Arabidopsis thaliana: one gene and its partners. The protein of the gene in region 4 purifies or fractionates together with the protein of the main gene of each other region. This does not show direct contact. Each region holds a gene or a part of one and is shown on either strand. Other genes may lie near its edges. The genes, in order: PHB3, PHB4, PHB5 and VDAC1.

Region 1 (5,071 bases), on a different chromosome or scaffold from region 4:
TGTATCTCCGCATCGAATGAGAGATACATGCTTATGTAATATAGTTCAGCGCGGGCATGTTTGTATCTGCATTTAGTGATTGTGCAAACAAAAATCAAATGATCAAAGTAGTTAATGCCTCCAGTGAAGCATCTCGGAAGCTGTACACGAGAGGAAGTTTTCTTCAAAGAAATAATCAGTTGACTCGGTTTAATTGTTACGTGTCACCTAGTGTTGTAGGTTAAGGATGAAATTTATCTCCACCAGATTGCAAATTTATTTTTATTTACTCGTCAATCTATTTCATCTTCGTTGTATATGGTCAACGAAACTATTAGATTACAATCAATTGATTTTATAATTATTACTAAGGTATGAATAATTTCAACACCACCAATTAGCTATAGTTTCGATCTGCACTTTGACACTAAATTATAATTTTTATAATTTAGTGTATCAACGTGACATCATGTATGTGATAATTAGCTTACATTATCTTATACTAGTTTGTAAACAAATACTGGCCATTGGTGGAGGAAAATTATGTGCACTAAACAACAAATGAGCATCCATTATAGCTTAGACTAAAGAATATTTGCATTATATGTAATGAGTCTCATATTTAAGTAAATGGCAATTCTAAAATTTTTTCACTAGCTAGATAAAAACACATCAATACTTTTTATTGATCTACCATTGGTGGTCAGATGATAATTCGATTCAATGTTTAGCCTAAACATATTCTTTCTGACCGATTAAAAACCAAGTGAACGTTTTGTTTTGGTCGATCTATCCCAAGATTAGTTGGACTTTGTTCCAAATTTCTTGATGAGCAAACACAAAAGTGTAAATTGTTTCTTATTATTGTTGTCATGTACCATATATATATATTTGACAAAATAACCTAGTATAGTAGTAGTAGTATATATATAATTATATATATATATATTAATATTAGTTTCAGTTTGTTTATTTTACAATTATACACTTCTCACTCTAATTGGTTATCAAAGATTCATGTTTCCTTCACTTGGGTTGTTTCTTTTACCTGTTTCGATAATATTGATGACTACATATATATCCGGTTGGAGTCAAAATGTTGAAAGAATCGAATTTAGCTCAATCTTTGAAGTTGGCGTTTAGTTTTTGAAATTAAAGATTTCTCTGCAATATTTTAATTGAAAATCAATATTGAAGGACTTTTCTGTAATATAAATCTATTTTAAAGGTTATTTTCAAACCTGTATAAGATTCGACACCGAAACATTTGACATTTTCGATAACGTGGTGAGGTCACTGTGTGACCTTCCAAGTAAAACTCCATAATTTTCTTAGTATTCGAGACGACTTAATTGAGTCATATTAATTAAGTGATACATAATATCTCTATATTTTTTTGGTCGAAGATACATAACAATTTTACGGATAAAATATTTGGAGATTTACATGCTTTCAGATTCAGTTTTAATACTCGTGTACATCTGTCTTCAAATCCCACTTAACCGAATAGAAAAGTATTCGCGTATACTGTTTGTTGGTCAAAAAATAGTCACAAAAAGTTTTCAAAAATAGATATCATTGTTTCACAACTTTTCTTTTAAGGAAAAAAAAACACTTTTTATACTGGAAAAACTCAACAACAACGTCCCCTGCCGTTATATTTGAAAAGGATTAATCATGCTCACATGTAAATATTTTTCTTATACGAAAAAGTAGTTATCCTTATTCAACTTCGTGTTTGTCAAGTAGCTCGAAGAATATTTTTGTTCACTACCGTTGGCTTGTACTAATCTAATACTTTTATAGTAGGCCCTTAACACCATACAAATGTCCAAGTAGGTATATTCTTCAATTTTTATTTGATTAAACAAATTGAGATAAACTATTGGCGTTGACCGATCTTGGTTTTCATTGCCTCGATTTTGCTGTTTTATATTTGGTTTCTTCTTGCTGGTTGGGATGCTGTTTTTGAACTGTGAGGTAGTCTTCATTTGTTATAAGAAGAGCTGCTATCTTGATGCTGTGGATTAGAATTTCCCCGTCGTTTAGCCATTTCTGCAAGCTTTTCTTTATCTTGGATTGATGGTGGGCAATGTCTCATGTGCTAGATTCTGGTTATAGTTTTTGATTTTCCATGGTTCAGTTTCTATTTTCTTATGCATTTAAAGTAATGTTTGTTAGCTTCCCATACTTTTGGGCTTTAGTCTCCGAGGATTTTTGTTATCCGTCGACTTAGTTTTTGAGATTATCTTGTTAATCGTCAGCTTTAACTTTGTAAACTCTATCTATAATCTATCTTTCAGTAAAAAAAAAATAAAAAAAATTGAGAGAAACATAATTTATGAGACAAAAAGATATTAAACATACTCTGTAACCGTTAAGCTGTTTTCAGCCCAATGTCATGAAACCCATTATTGAATTTAGTTCTTAATAGGCTTATATAGTCACATAATAATATTGGGCTAAGTTACTTGGCCCATTAAATCATTTCCCGTGGTAGGTTCCAGAAACATATCATAAACCCTAGCAGAAACTCTTTCCTCTCTCGTCGTCTCAAATCTCTTCTTCCTTCTTCTTCTCTCTCGATTCAAGATAATCCACACGCAAAAATGGGAAGCCAACAAGCGGCTGTTTCGTTCCTTTCCAATTTGGCGAAGGCTGCTTTCGGTCTTGGAACGGCGGCGACGGTGCTGAATACATCGCTTTTCACCGTTGACGGCGGAGAAAGAGCTGTTATCTTCGATCGATTCAGGGGAGTGATGGATCAGACTGTGGGTGAAGGGACTCATTTCTTGATCCCGATTCTTCAGAGGCCTCACATCTTCGATATCCGCACGAAGCCTCACACGTTCTCTTCAATCTCTGGTACTAAGGATCTCCAGATGGTTAATCTCACTCTTCGTGTTCTCTCTCGTCCTGAGGTATAACGCATAACGGTTCTTCATTTTTGATCTAGACTCGTTTGATTTCTCTGAATTGAGGTTTTTCAGATTCATTTGCGAATTGGATTTAGGGTTTAGGGTTTTGATGATCTATGATTTTCAAAATTTGTTTCGAGGACTAGGTATTGTAGAATCGTTATTAATTTGGTGTGTTTATGTGATGTGAATTGTTGTGAAGGTGTCGCGTCTCCCGTACATCTTCCAAACTTTGGGTCTAGAGTATGACGAGAAGGTTCTTCCTTCGATTGGAAATGAGGTTTTGAAAGCTGTGGTTGCACAGTTCAACGCTGACCAGCTTCTCACTGAGCGTCCTCACGTCTCAGCACTTGTTCGGGAGTCACTAATCACCCGTGCGAAGGACTTCAACATTGTGCTTGATGATGTAGCTATCACGCATTTGTCCTATGGTGTGGAGTTTTCAAGGGCTGTTGAGCAGAAACAAGTGGCTCAGCAAGAGGCAGAGAGGTCTAAGTTTGTTGTGATGAAGGCTGATCAAGAGAGGAGAGCTGCGGTTATAAGAGCTGAAGGTGAAAGTGAAGCTGCTCAGTTGATTTCTGATGCTACGGCTAAAGCTGGTATGGGACTTATCGAGCTTAGGAGGATTGAAGCTTCAAGGGAGATTGCGTCTACACTTGCTAGGTCTCCTAATGTGGCCTACTTACCCGGTGGCCAGAGCATGCTCTTTGCCCTGAACCGTTGATCTTGATCAGATATGATGGTATGTAAAAGCTTCATCTGAATCCATAGAATTAAGTCGTTTTGTGATTTGTCTGAAGGCTTTGTATTATGGTTATGTGCAGGTTGTTTGGGAGCATTTTGCGATATTTTAATGATCAAGTTGTGAATCTGATTGAATCAAAAAGGTGAAATGCTCTTTTGTTTTGATGAACTCTGAAGAAGAAAAAGAAACTAGTTGTTTGAGTTGTCATTATTGTGTTCTGAATCTCGGCAAAATTTACTCTACCTGAAGAATCTTTGTTTTCAGCATCATGTTTATCTAATTCTCAACAAATAAATGATTTTGGCTGAACTGTAAGTAATTTGTTTGTTACACATGCGTGAGAAAAGAAAATACAGATGGTACCTAGGAGTGTTGTTCTATGCGGATAAACTATGGTCACATCTGGATTATCTAGATGGTACCTATTTTGCATAAACTGTCGATAGTCTACGTCAAATTTCGATCTGTATGGACATTCAATTGTTTTTGCATAAACAGAGCAAGTTCAGAAACAAAGCAAATAAAGAAGAGAAATCATGAAAGATAGCCTTTTCTATCGAGATCCATTTTATCCATCGGTTTTAGTTTTTTTTTTTTTGGTCATCTAATGATAATGATGACTATGTAAAGACGGCGTCGGTTCCTAGACTCAACTTATGTGTCTGTGTCAACAAACTCTAGATGGAACTTAATGTGTGTTTCAACCACCTCTAGATTGAACTTATGTGTGTATATCAACAAACTCTACATTTTTTGGCAATTTTTTCTATCTCATCGTCAATTTCATTCATTTAACGAGCACAACAAAAGCTAAATTCATTTATGGTATTGGTAAGATTTTTATTTTTATTTCTACAAAGCCGCAAATACAAGACCAAAGGAAGTGTCAAAGTGAACAGCTGAAGTAGCAAGTTTCACGTACAAACACCAAACTCGAGGAGGGACTATTCAGCATAATTTATACATATACATGTAGATACATGTATTGTGTATTTATATATATGTAGGGTTTTATAGTGTAGGAGGGATCCAGATATAGCCGTGAGTCTGAAGATAACCAGCTTTCTCTAGTAGCTGATCAGCTTCTTTCGGTCCTCGGCTTCCTGGTTTGTATGGGATTGACTTTACTTCTCCTTTGTCGATCCTGTGGAGTAGCGGCGTGAAGATCTCCCACGCAACCTGTAATAATCATCAAAATGGATACAAATGTTAGCTCCTGAATTGTATGATGCAAAAGTTTGTGTCTGGATTGTGTCTATAGTTAGAGCATTTGTAATGTAACAAAAAAACGATCTCAGAGACTGCTTTGGTTTAAGGGTGGCGTTAGAAAATGTTTCTACCTTTAATTCGTCTCTACGAACGAAATGTTGTTGATCGCCTTTGATTCTGCAGAGAGATGGAAAGAAAATATGTTGAAGATAACATGAAG
Region 2 (4,618 bases), about 10 Mb from region 4:
GGCATTTTTTACGGATTATCTCTCATTTCTTCTTCTATTTTTAGAAATAATAATTCCTGATATATAGCAATATGACACTTAGATTTATTATTCATAAAACACTCTATTAACAAAGAAAAATAAAAACTTATAAAAGGAAAAACAAAATGTCTAAAAGTTTGATTTATAATGATAGATGCTTAATGCAACAAAAAAAAAAGGTGTTATTTGCGGTTAAACTTTTGGTTTATAAATTACAAGATATACAAATATTGAAAAAATGGAACTTCTTATACTCATTTAAAAAAAAAATTAAGGAAATTTGTCAAAATTGTAATTTAGCTGTAAAATAAATCACTACAAGGAGATAAAATCGTAAATAATATTAAATCTTCTACCAAATATATTTTCATTGAAAAAAAACAAAAATATGCATATATAATCAATACGATATAAATACTTGTAATTGATCGAATTATTGTATTAGGAAAAGCAATGAATTGGGAATTGTGTGATGATTATCCAAGCAAAGCACCGCCAGAGACGTGTAATAAGGTAGACGGTGCTAGGAGGTGCCGAACGAGTTGTAACAACGAAGGTTATGGTGGAGCAAATTGTAATTTGAAGGGAAAAGTTAAAGTTTGTGAATGCACTATACTTAGAGTTTGTCTACCCCACCACAAGAGGCCACCGCATGTACCGAAGCCACCAAAGTGACCACATAAAAAAGTTTTATTTAATTTATTTACCATGTTTTAATTTATATTTTAAATAATACAAGTACAACAACCTTGGTGTTGGAAATTGTTTTTGACAATACAAATTTCGACTATTGTTATGGTAGATTTTTTGGTGAAGCCTTTCATTGGAATGATCGGGTTTCGACAACAATGGCATAGTCTTTACTTCTAGAGTCAGAAAAGATAGAACGGCTCAAAACAATTATCTTTTTTCACATCGTGTTCATCAGAAATAAAAGAGCATCAACGTTAATAAACTTCACAGCTCCGTCGTTTTGTCTCCACTGAAGCTCCTCTTCCCACCTGCAAATACAACAAGGCCAAACAAGTAAACCACACCATTCCACAAACCTAAACCATACTCTACTATCAAACCAAACAGTTTATACCAAACCATAACCACTCTTAGTTCAACCAAACCGAATAACCTTAATGCCTTTAAATGGGAATCTTAAGTCCAAATCCATTTTTCATTCATTATTCAAAGAAGTAAAAGAGCATACCAATGTTATAGCTCAACGACCAGGGTTCAGATTAAAGAGCATGCTTTGTCCACCAGGTAAGTAAGCCACGTTCGGAGACCTAGCCAGAGTAGCCGCAACCTCCCTTGAAGCTTCAATCCTCCTAAGCTCAATTAGTCCCATTCCTGCTTTAGCTGTTGCATCTGATATCAACTGAGCAGCTTCACTCTCACCTTCTGCTCTTATAACCGCAGCTCTCCTCTCTTGATCAGCCTTCATCACCACAAACTTTGACCTTTCAGCTTCCTGCTGAGCCACTTGCTTCGCCTCCACTGCCCTCGAGAACTCAGCACCGTACGATAAGTGAGTAATGGCTATGTCGTCGAGCTCAATGTTAAATTCCCTGGCACGCTTGATAAGAGCATCACGAACAAGTGCTGATACTTGAGGACGCTCAGTGAGGAGCTGATCAGCATTGAAATTAGCAACCACAGCTTTCAAGACCTCATTTCCAATCGATGGAAGAACCTTCTCATCGTATTCAAGACCCAATGTTTGGAAAATGTACGGGAGACGCGAAACCTTCACAGTAAAATAACCACAACAACTTATTCAATCCCTCAAACAATCGAAGCCAGCATAGATATGCACCAAAAGCTTCTATAATAAGAGTAACATTCATCGAAGAAACCAAATTACACATAAGGATTATCTTCAACTCTAGATCTTGTACACAAACTTCAAATTCCACGAAATCAAACACAGAATCGATAAATGATTGCTAAATCGAACGAACACGATCATCCTAAACCCTCGATCTTGTAAACAACCAATGTATACAAAATCAAACACAGAATCGAGAAATTGATTGTTGCTAAAATCGAAATTACCTCAGGGCGAAAGAGAACACGAAGGGTGAGATTAACCATCTGAAGATCCTTAGTACCAGATTTGGAGGAGAAAGTGTGAGGTTTCGTACGAATATCGTATATGTGCGGCGTCTGGAGATACGGGATCAAGAAATGAGTCCCTTCGCCGACGGTCTGATCCAACACTCCCCTGAATCGATCGAACAAAACAGCTCTCTCGCCACCATCAACAGTGTAGAGCGACGAGTTTAGTGCCGTCGCCGCCACACCTAACCCAAACGCCGCCTTCGCCAAGTTCGTCAGAAACGAAATCGCTACTTGTTGACTTCCCATTTTCTTTTCTGACCTCACAAGAAAAAAGCTTCGAAGGAGAGAATTGAGAAAGGAAAGATTTAGGGGTTTGTTAGGGTTTATGAAATGATTTTGGAACTTGGAAGAGAGGGTTTTTTTTGGCCGACAATTATTGAATATGGGCTTGTTTAAAGCCCATTAATAATATAAACTACTTCGGCCCAATAATAAAAAAGGAAAAGGAAATGATGTAATATAAAAGGAAACAACGGTTTGGAAGATTAAACCCGAATTTGATTATTTGCCCATAAACGAAACTAAATCCGGAGAGGAAGACAGAGACGAAGAGCGTGTTGATAACAACCCTGCAGAGATTTTGGATCTTCTTAGAGAGCAAGATGAAAATGTTCTTCCTCCACCTCCTCCTTCACCTTGATTAGAGATTTTGATTAGAGTGAATAAGCACAAAAGACTAAAATTGATTTTTCTATACAACCAGTGGAAAATGTTATATACAAGAAATTCTATATAAAGACAATGAGACCTCTGACTTTGGACAGCAAAAGTAGATAAAAAGAAACATCTAAGGCTGCTTCCACAAATTGAACTAAATCGTCGATCTCTTCATCGTGTGTTTTCTTCTTCTTTGCTGCGTGTGGACTCAGATAGATCTTGCACATAGCATAATTGCCCTACTCAAACAAAACAACAGAAGTCGTCACAATAAAAACCAAAACTCAAGAGTCTCAATAACTTGGAAACCAAGTAAGTAAACGTACATATATACTCTTACCAGCTCGTAGTTATTAATATCATCAGAAGACTTAAGCCAGTGTTCATGCATCAACCAACCCTCTTTTACGCCATTTTGGTTGTTTTCCAATGTAGTACTCTAGTGAGTATTTGTAGCCGACAAGGCCTGCTTCTCCAGCATGAATCTTCTTGGCAGAGATGATACTACCCTCCAGTATCCTCCATTGTCTCTACGATTCATTCTTTTTCCACATTTCCCCATCTTGGTCCTCCCAGATATAAAGAACCATTCCGTCTTGTTACCCTTCACAAACTCCTCCGTTTCGAATCAAAAGAAAGACGCCGTTTTACATACAGAAAACACCAGAAGAGGATTAACGATATCGCCTTATATCTTTATTACTTGGATTTCAATTCTGGCTTGGACTAAGCTAAAAACAGAGACTGCTCCCACAATTCTTTGGAAATTAGTAGGAGTTGCTCATGCTACAGCTTACCATGTTTGGAAACAAATGAACAACTTGTTGCACAATAGTGTCTCCGTTTCGCCTTTGGCCACCTTCAAAGAAATCGACGGAGACATCAAAAAACACTATTACCGCTCGCATAAACAGAAAAGCTTTTCGGAATCTGATGATCTTGTAACTCCGATAAATTTTGTTGATGGACTCATTTTATATCTTTTTGGCAAGATTACATTTGTTTGGTTAAGCTATTTTTAAAACCTCAACTTTCATTAATATGATAATCACATTCCTATACTCGTAATACCCTCCCTTAAGATGAAATCTGAATTAAAATCTAAAACTTTGATGAATCGATGAAGATCAGTGGAATATATCAGTTTCTGTCAGATTGAGATCGAGAGAAAAACAAGTGGGAGCTATTTAAAATGACACTTCATTCTTTAATCACCACTCTTTGTTTACTCCTTCGGGTTTTGATGATATTGTAATTTGTAAATATGGGCGAGGTCAGCCTGGCGAGACCTACACCAAGTTAAATTCATCTTTTTAGGAGAAAAAATCCCTCCCAACATGCTTTGAACTCAACACCTCCATCTGGGAGATTTACTATTGGACCAACAGATTGTTGATGTCAAACTCATCCTTCAAGCTACATTTTGTGAGATTTCGAAAGAGTCTAACTCTAGACTTCATGGAGGAACCTCTAACATGTGAAATCTAACAGACCATTCCCCTCCAATTGGTTTGGATTCGTTCAATTATCCATCTCTTAACTAGAATCTTAAAGCATGTTTATCTTGTGGTTGTTTAAATTTTAATCTATCTTACTTCCTCTCTTATTTTGCTCAAGAAAAAATAAATGAAAAAAAGTGTTAATTAAAAAGTTGGTCTGAAATTTGTATAAACTTCTAGAGGGAATGAATTCAAGTCCTAATTTTCAACCACTAGTCTCGTGGACACTAGTCACTCGTACTTTTGTGGAATTTATTATTGTCCGAGGCAATGATCTCGATTTTTGATATTGTACAAGTCACCCCAAGTTTAGTCATCCCAAGTTT
Region 3 (3,617 bases), on a different chromosome or scaffold from region 4:
TGAAGTAACAAGCGCGTGTCAGAACGCGTGGACGCTCGCCGGAGCAAGGAAGAATGATCCGGAATCACGATTAGCTGTGAAAGTGTACGATCTCTTGTCTCCTCCGTTTTACGCCTTCTACAGTATCGTTAGGGGTGTGTTGGGACCTTTGTTTTTCGGGAAAATGGTAGCGTTTTACGCTCGAGGTGGTGCTCATGGTGTGATACCTAATTGGTTGTGGATTTCTTGGGCAATTGTTGTTGGAATTGCTATTACTGTTAGTATACTTTGGATTTGGAATCTCTGGATAGAATTGTTTAGTGAAAGGAAAGCTAACAAAATCAGAGTAGACAAGAAAATTAGATAGTTTCTTCTTTCTTCTCTAGATCATTGTTTGATCTTCCTTTTCATGTACTATATATAATATATATACCATTATTATTCTCACCTTTTAGAATTCCTCTAAATGATGTATGTTTTGGAATAATAGATTTGCTTTTGGGTAAGCAGTATGTGCAAAATGCACTTTTAATTCAACTCTGTATTGTTCAGAAGTTCTTCTCTTAAGAGTTTCTTCCATACACATATGTCTTGTCTCTCTGCTACACTTGGTTGCTCACATCTTGATTCTTGATATTGATGAGAAACGTTTTCTTTATGAAGTGTGCCATTCTTGGTGAGTTATATTTGGCTTTATAACTCTCTTTGTTTACGGCCAACACCAAGTCCCCTGAAACCAGCAACTGGTAAGCCATATATTCTTTTACTTGGAAGAATCAAAAGTTAGCTGGGGAAGTGTAAGAAATTACGAAACACAGAGATTCATATCTTCGATCATTGGATTGTGAACTTTTCATGTGTTGAAGAGGATAGGAAGAGAATTGGGGACTAAACATACCATCCAAGCTGAGACATGGTGTTAGGCAGTCTGTTGTGGAAAGCTGAATGATATACCATTTGGCCAATGAATAGCATAAAATACACAAATTTAACCAATTTACTGAGAAGAGCATGGAATTAGAGAAAAATCTTTTAAGATCAAATAATCCCAAAGATAATAAGGAAAATGAAGGGATTGCTCAAACAAGGGGAATTATAAGGGACACATACAACAAGTCATTGTTGAATCTCATTTCAGTTCTTGGCCTTGATAGAATGGTTCTCCTTGATTCTAGCTCTGGTATCCAGCTTCACAAAACGTTTAAGATCATCAAAACTAAGAGTCTCAACGTTCTTCCTTCTAAGTTCGCTAAGCGCCGGTCGCTTATCAAGCAGATGCCATAAATAATCAGGGTGATCTGAATTAGGCAAGATCTTAGGGTCCAATCCATCTTTCAGAGTATTAGCACTAACAACCATACTCGATTTGATCTCTTTGCTCAAGTTCGATGCTTTTGGTGCATCATTACCTCCATCTCCCCTCCCAACCTTCTTCGCTTTACCAGCAGCTGTAGCAAATGTTCTTTGGCACACAAATCGCATTACATCTTTGGATCTAGAAATGGAATCCCCAAACATTCGAATAAGGTTCATATCAACAACCTTATACCTGCAAATTCACAAAATAAAACTAAATAAATCTACACAATCCTATAATGTTCGTTCTCGGATTTAGATCAAGATTCGAGTTTTGTCGAAGATTTTTGGGTGAGGGTTTAACTCGCAAGATAGAGATAGGTAGCGAGTGCATCGCGGGAACTGGTAAAACTTATTAAAAAGTAACGGACCGGAAAATTAAAAGACCCGTCTAAAAGCCCACCAATAGTAATGCATACAAGTAACACGTGGCAGGTATGGTTGACCGAGTGAGTAACAGAACGTGAGAAAACCGACCCGCTAAATAAGAACCCGCCCAATATAATAAGCTTTCTCCTTAACTTCTGCCTCACGCAAAAAAAAAAACTTCCTATAAAACCTCATCTCCTGCGTTCTCTAACTACTTCTCACCTATCTGACAAGAAAAGAAACCCTAAACAACATAAAAAGAAACCTAAAATCCATACAGGAGACATTCAAAGCCAATCATGCCTTGGTCAAAGTTCACAAAGGTAGCTCTAGGTCTAGGAGCTGCCATAGCGGCTGTGAGATCAACAATGTTCACCGTTGATGGTGGCCAGAGAGCTGTTATGTTCCACCGATTCGAAGGGATTCTAGAAGAACCAGTAGGAGAAGGGACACATCGTAAGATTCCGTGGGTGCAAAAGCCGTATATCTTCGACATTCGGACCAAACCCTACAAAATCAATACCGACTCTGGAACTAAGGATCTTCAGATGGTCAACCTCACACTTCGTGTTATGTTTCGCCCTGATGTAAGTTCCCGCGAATATCCAAAAAATTTCACTAATAAGATTTTGTGATATATATGTAAAATAATATATAACTGTTTTCCGTGGGTTCGTGTTAGGTTTCGCGCCTCTCGTATATATACCAAAACTTAGGTCTCGACTATGGTGAAAAGGTCCTACCAGCGATCGGGACGAGGTGGTTAAAGCGGTGGTGGCTCAGTTCAACGCTGACGAGCTCTTAACAGAACGTCCACAGGTCTCAGCTCTTATACGCGAAACGTTGATCAAGCGAGCTAAGGAGTTCAACATTGTTCTCGATGACGTGTCGATCACTGGTCTCTCATACGGTAAAGAGTTCTCACTTGCGGTGGAGCGGAAGCAGGTGGCACAGCAAGAAGCTGAGCGGTCCAAGTTCGTAGTGGCAAAGGCTGATCAGGAGAGACGAGCGGCTGTGATTAGAGCAGAAGGAGAGAGCGAGGCGGCTCGGGTTATATCGAAAGCGACTGCAGGGGCTGGGATGGGGTTGATCAAGCTCAGAAGGGTCGAGGCGGCTAGAGAGGTTGCGATTACGCTCTCTAATTCTCCCAATGTCGTCTATTTGCCAAGTGGTGGGAATATGTTGTTTGCAATGAACGGTCCAAGCAAAGTTGTTGCTTGAATTAGTTGCAAAAATATGGTGTTCAATGGTTATATTGATTTGTGTGTTTTAAGATTTTCATTTTTTTATATAGTTTCCTAGTATTGGATCACCCTAGTATACTCCAGTTGAGACTGTTCTTGCGAGTCTGAGACTCGCACACATGACACATGACACATCTACTGTTAAGTCGACATTGACATCAAATTAAACAATCACTGTGCCAATCAAACTTATGCATAGACCTAGAGATAATTAAGTAGTCCAAGTTCAAAGGTTGATCTAACCTGGATCAGTGCCCTTGGTAGCTATGGCACATACTTCCTCACTAGGGAAAATGGGAGCTGATTATCCAGCAGCTTTCGATTAGATATCAACAAACAAAATGCAAATTAGGTTATCTTAGAAAGAAAAAAAAACAAGCTATTCATCGGATCACAAGTCACAAGTGTCACCTCGAAAGAAACTTGGGCCCATCTATATTATCTTATGGGCCTTATCGACCGATTCAAATATTGCAAATTAGTGTCGTTAACCTTTTTTGAAAACATACGGCCATTAGTGACAATTTAATTAATATTCTACAAATTCGAGCAGTGTCTTCTACATTTCTTTGTAAAGTCTTTGGTTTTTAATTTTAAGGTCAAGTTCACCATGAGCGACCAAAGTTTTGAATTTTTCAAGGTTTTTATTTTCATTTTATCGTTGTATGG
Region 4 (5,146 bases):
TCTTCATTTCTCAATACTTAGGGAAAGTGATGATTTATCCGGTCAAGTTATTGATTTTCGTTTTGTTTTTTCAGTGATCAGAGCATGTGTTCCAAAGCTGAACTTGGACGATGTGTTCGAGCAGAAGAATGAAATTGCCAAATCTGTGGAAGAAGAGCTAGACAAAGCCATGACTGCTTATGGTTACGAAATCCTTCAAACCCTAATTATCGACATTGAGCCTGATCAACAGGTTAAACGTGCCATGAACGAAATCAACGCCGGTAAGTCCTCAAAATCGTAAAACCCTAAATCAAAATCTAAACAAATAAATGGTCAAAACCCTGAATTCAATTGTTGTTACAGCGGCGAGGATGAGAGTGGCAGCGAGCGAAAAAGCAGAGGCTGAGAAAATCATTCAGATCAAAAGAGCAGAGGGTGAAGCAGAGTCAAAGTACCTGTCGGGACTCGGAATCGCTCGGCAGAGACAAGCGATCGTGGACGGTCTGAGAGACAGTGTTCTAGGGTTCGCAGGAAACGTGCCAGGGACGTCAGCGAAGGATGTGTTGGACATGGTGATGATGACTCAGTACTTTGACACAATGAGAGATATCGGAGCAACTTCTAAATCCTCTGCGGTGTTTATCCCTCACGGTCCAGGCGCCGTCTCTGACGTGGCAGCGCAGATTCGAAATGGATTATTACAGGCCAACAATGCCTCCTAATCACTCAAGTCAAATTGTCTTGGTCGTCTCTTTATATATTTTTGTATCTTCTTATTAAAAAGGTAAATTTGACTTTTAATATAATGGTGTGCTTATTGTGATTTGTCATTATGTTTGTACCTATCTCTTTTGTGAGTTGTGTGATAGATATACTTTGTATTTTTTCTTAAAAGTCAATATAAATTTCTGTTTGCGAGAGAAAAATCGAATCTTTGAATAGTGAACTTTGTGGCGATAAACTAATATAATGATTAATGAAGAGAATGTTGCGATATAGGACACTTTCATATAATGAAGAGAATGAACCTGATCGATAAACATGTGGGCCTAAAATGAAGCCCATCTCAATCAACTCTCTGGACACAGGTCCACTTACTCAACACACAGGCCCATCTGAATATGCAATTTTCATTATGACACGGCAAATAAAAAGAGAAGCAGAAGAGGAGGATCTTAAGAGTTTCATCACCATCTCAAGATGATCATTTTCAACCTTTTTATTCTTCTACAAATCCGGCAGGAAAATGGGAAAGATCAGTAGTTGCCCACTCAAACCATGAACCAAGCAGAGAAAAAACAGAGTACGTAGAAAGAAACTAGTTTAAAAAAACTATTGCAACTTCTTCTTCCATCTCAGTTTCAAGGCTTGAGTGCGAGAGCCAATCCAACTTTAGCACTCTTGTCAATTGACTTTGTGTCGACTTCTCCAGAGATTGTGAAGAATGACTTGGGTTTCCACTCGTGTTGAATGAGAGCACTTGCAATACCCGCACTATTGACACGAGCCTTCACAGAGGTCAAGGGGTCAAGCGAGTGCTGTGTTCCAACAGTTATGGTGCTGTCCTTGCTAGATAACTTGTGGCTCACTTCGGCTCCAACCGCAGTGTTGAACAGCGGGTTCACAATGTGATAGTAAGATGCATTCAATAGATCGCCCTTGTCGTTCCTAACAAACAACAAAATCAAAAGATATTAAATGGAAACATTGAGAACTCCATCTTTCATCCAGAATTCTCACTAAAAATCACTTACACAGTAAGGGAGGCAATTAAGTCCTCCTTGGTGAAGCTTAAACCAGCATTGATCTTGGTGAAATTTCCAGACTTGGTGTCAAATGAAACATCAGTACCAACAGCCAAGACATTGGAGCCAATCACACCAGAGAAGTTGACAGTTGGGTTCTGAGTCAATCCCATGCTTGTGCTGATACCGGCGTACTCATGCAAGTATTGCAGCTCAACCTGTTTATAAGACGAAACACGATAAAAATGAGAAGTCAACTCTCAACTGATGAAACTTTAAAACAATACAAAGAAATGTTGTTGAATTAATAAAATATACCTTGCCAGAATTTTGGTCAGGAACCTTGAAGCTGAAGATTGACCTCAGTCCGGGTGCAGCCTCATCAACGGTAGCGGTGATCAGAAACTGAAACCAATACACACAAAGTTGTAAGGTAAGTAGCCCAACAAACAAACAAAAAACTATAACTCAATATACAAGAAAAACAGGAGATGAAATTGAGTACACAAATACACTTACAGTAGAATCAGTGCAAACTTTCAAATCAGTAGTAATGTTCTTTCGCCTCGACTGAAAAGCGACATCTCCCAACAATAAGTCACCTTTCTTAGTTCCGGTTGAGGTGATGGCCTAAAACAAAGAAAGAGCCAGATTATGAGCAACGATGCCCAAGATAGAAGAAATCCAATGTTTACCATCACACGAAACATAAGAACAAAGTAAGAAATCCGTTACATAAGATAACAATGCTAATTCGACACAAACCTCAGAAGCTAATGAATAAAGCAAAAGTGGAAACAGAATACAGAAGACGACATTCCATAAACCCTAATCATCTATAATGAAATGAGAAACTTACAACACCGGCAGGAGAGAAAGTGGTGATACTGAATTTCTGGTCACTGTTGTGGTCTTTGTACAGAAGATCTGCAAATACACAGAGCAGAGCAACAGTTTTAGACAGCTTATTAACAAAACATTCTCAAAGGGGACTTAAATGGTGAGAAATGCTAAACATGAAAGAGAATCACAGCATTCAAATTGGCTATTCCAGATCAACGATAAACAAAACAGGGTCTATTGAGAAAGGTAGAGAGCTTAAACGAGAGTGACGGAGACATTGAACCCAAGGAATTACTCATATCAGCACCAATGATTGAAATCCATTACTTATGAATCTCTACCCGATCGAATACTCGAAATCTACGCATGCATCTATGATCTATCCCGGTAGCCAAATCGGGACCGGGAAAAGGAAAATCTAAGAGATGAGCAAATGAATCAAAAATCCTAAGGAATCAAAAGAAAGTCCAGATTAGAAGACAGAACGGGACACTAAGTAGCAACAATCAGATCGTCTACGCCATAAACAGATTTAATTGAACGAAATGAAAGAGAAGAAGTGAGGGAGATAATAAAAAGATACCTCTGGCCTTTTTGCCGATTTCGGTGTAGAGACCGGGACCTTTCACCATTGTTGCTTATCTGAGAAAGTTGGAGGATGTTCTGAAAAGTCTTCTCTGAGAATCGAAAGAACAAGAGCTGGAAAACGTGGTTGGCGTCTATAAGAGAGAGAGACTGAGGAAAACCCTAAAATGTTTTTTATTTCCGAATATTATCAGAGAAAGAAGAGTTTTCCTGTTTATCAAGCATAATTTTATCAGCCGTTGGATGGAGACTCGCTTGCTTCAGTATTCCTTATCCACAGCCGTCCATATATTTATTCCCCACTCACCAAGAAATTTATTCTCATTTATTACGTGGCAACTAAACGGCGTCGTTTAATAACACATTTTTCTTTCCACGCCTAAAATGAGAAAATCGTTTTTTTCCCTTGATGATTAGTCGCATAAATTTAGCTATTTCATCCTTTATTTTAGTCATGAATGAGTAATCGAATGTGATGGTGAAATCGTGATTTTTACATATTTATCAAACTATTTTCAGAAAAATATCCCAACTAGTTAGCGGCTGATATAGTAAACGATTAGTCAAGTCTCCGTTATGGTAGCAATTTATACTACAAGCAGTCTGACATTTTCACTACTTTTAGATGCATCATGAGAATGTAAACGTAATTGTTTCTTGTTGCTAAAATTGGTCGAAATCATAATGTTAGTCTCTCCATAGAAATATCCAAATATAGGAAACGAACAAAAAACAAGGAGATGTAAAATTAAAAAGAAAAAAAGAAAACAAAGAAAGCTGTCCACAAGTAAATTATGGTGGCTTTCCATACATAACGGGAAATTTTTCTAAATATAGTAGTTCACTTTCTTCACCAGGTTTTTTTTATCATTATTTAAACACCAACATTCATGTTTGTCAAACTTCGCAATACGATTCATCTACCAAAAAAGGCTTTAGGTCAAACAGAAATAACGACCTAAAGCTATGTTTAAAGCTTAGCAGTTCTCCACATATATTTCAATATATAAAAAGATTACCCCTTTTTAAAAAATAAAATAGATATTTGTTTTCCGTAAAAGAAAGGGGTAATCAAATAAAATGGAGACGGCTAGGCTTTTCAAATTAGTGTGTGTGATATGTATTGCCAGTTTGATTCCGACCATACGAGCCAATGTTGCTGATGAGACCGATGAGTATTGGGTAAACAAGGCCAATGAAGCTCGTAAACATACCCTTATGGCTTATCATCCCGACCCTTATGAGATCGTCGACCACTTCCACGAGCGTCATTACGAGTAAGTCAAATATTAGTATCTCGATCTATATATGCATTGTTTTTGAATCCTACCGATTTGTCGTCTCGTTGAAATTAACCAGGCTTGATTGTAATCATTAGAGAACGGTTTGGATTAGTTTATTCTGATTTCATTCAAATTACAAATATTTATTAGTAGAAGTTTTTTTTGGGTTGTAAAAAGGATGTTGGATTTATGATGGTTTTGGTTTGGTGTATATCTTCAGCAACTCGACTGACGTCGAGGGGACCGAGGAAGAGAAGGCGGTCGCTTCCGAGGAAGAGGACGTCATTGAGATGATTTCTAGTCCGACAAACAGCACAAGGCGGAGCCTAACCGGTAGGGGCAAGGGAAAAGGAAAAGGAAAATGGAGCAAGCTAACGGGACCTTGCACCGCAAGCAACCCCATCGATAAATGCTGGCGTTGCCAGCCTGATTGGGCCAGACGTCGCAAGAAGCTCGTTCACTGTGTCCGTGGGTTTGGTTACAGGACCACCGGAGGCAAACGCGGCCGCATCTATGTAGTCACGAGCCCCAGAGACGATGATATGGTGAACCCTAGACCTGGAACACTACGTCACGCTGTGATCCAGAAAGAACCTCTATGGATCGTTTTTAAGCACGATATGAGCATTCGGTTAAGCCAAGAGCTGATGATTACTAGTGACAAGACAATCGATGCTCGTGGCGCTAACGTGCACATCGCATATGGTG

What was found.
Region 1: the proteins of VDAC1 (region 4) and PHB3 fractionate together in Arabidopsis thaliana (co-fractionation; one large-scale study listed by BioGRID). This does not show direct contact.
Region 2: the proteins of VDAC1 (region 4) and PHB4 fractionate together in Arabidopsis thaliana (co-fractionation; one large-scale study listed by BioGRID). This does not show direct contact.
Region 3: the proteins of VDAC1 (region 4) and PHB5 fractionate together in Arabidopsis thaliana (co-fractionation; one large-scale study listed by BioGRID). This does not show direct contact.

Annotation. Positions count from the first base shown.
Region 1 is NC_003076.8:16,314,139-16,319,209, reverse strand, and holds PHB3 (prohibitin 3), read left to right. Parts: upstream 1-1,918; 5' UTR 1,919-2,588; coding exon 2,589-2,900; intron 2,901-3,099; coding exon 3,100-3,621; 3' UTR 3,622-3,639; intron 3,640-3,721; 3' UTR 3,722-4,360; downstream 4,361-5,071. Other genes in the region: G6PD6 (glucose-6-phosphate dehydrogenase 6), read right to left, coding at 4,654-4,821, 4,983-5,028. UniProt on the Arabidopsis thaliana protein: Prohibitin probably acts as a holdase/unfoldase for the stabilization of newly synthesized mitochondrial proteins. Necessary for mitochondrial and cell metabolism and biogenesis.
Region 2 is NC_003074.8:10,074,668-10,079,285, reverse strand, and holds PHB4 (prohibitin 4), read right to left. Parts: upstream 2,478-4,618; 5' UTR 2,383-2,477; coding exon 2,071-2,382; intron 1,763-2,070; coding exon 1,235-1,762; 3' UTR 1,223-1,234; exon of another isoform or gene 1,023-1,222; 3' UTR 678-1,022; downstream 1-677. Other genes in the region: AT3G27270 (TRAM, LAG1 and CLN8 (TLC) lipid-sensing domain containing protein), read right to left, coding at 3,580-3,652. UniProt on the Arabidopsis thaliana protein: Prohibitin probably acts as a holdase/unfoldase for the stabilization of newly synthesized mitochondrial proteins.
Region 3 is NC_003076.8:4,611,099-4,614,715, forward strand, and holds PHB5 (prohibitin 5), read left to right. Parts: upstream 1-2,003; coding exon 2,004-2,291; intron 2,292-2,463; coding exon 2,464-2,925; downstream 2,926-3,617. Other genes in the region: AT5G14285 (DNA-binding storekeeper), read left to right, coding at 1-346; AT5G14290 (Mitochondrial ribosomal protein L37), read right to left, coding at 1,114-1,512.
Region 4 is NC_003074.8:83,810-88,955, reverse strand, and holds VDAC1 (voltage dependent anion channel 1), read right to left. Parts: upstream 3,406-5,146; 5' UTR 3,203-3,405; coding exon 3,154-3,202; intron 2,655-3,153; coding exon 2,587-2,654; intron 2,358-2,586; coding exon 2,247-2,357; intron 2,133-2,246; coding exon 2,046-2,132; intron 1,946-2,045; coding exon 1,737-1,945; intron 1,651-1,736; coding exon 1,344-1,650; 3' UTR 886-1,343; downstream 1-885. Other genes in the region: HIR2 (SPFH/Band 7/PHB domain-containing membrane-associated protein family), read left to right, coding at 75-263, 346-704; AT3G01270 (Pectate lyase family protein), read left to right, coding at 4,236-4,432, 4,659-5,146. UniProt on the Arabidopsis thaliana protein: Forms a channel through the mitochondrial outer membrane that allows diffusion of small hydrophilic molecules. The channel adopts an open conformation at low or zero membrane potential and a closed conformation at potentials above 30-40 mV.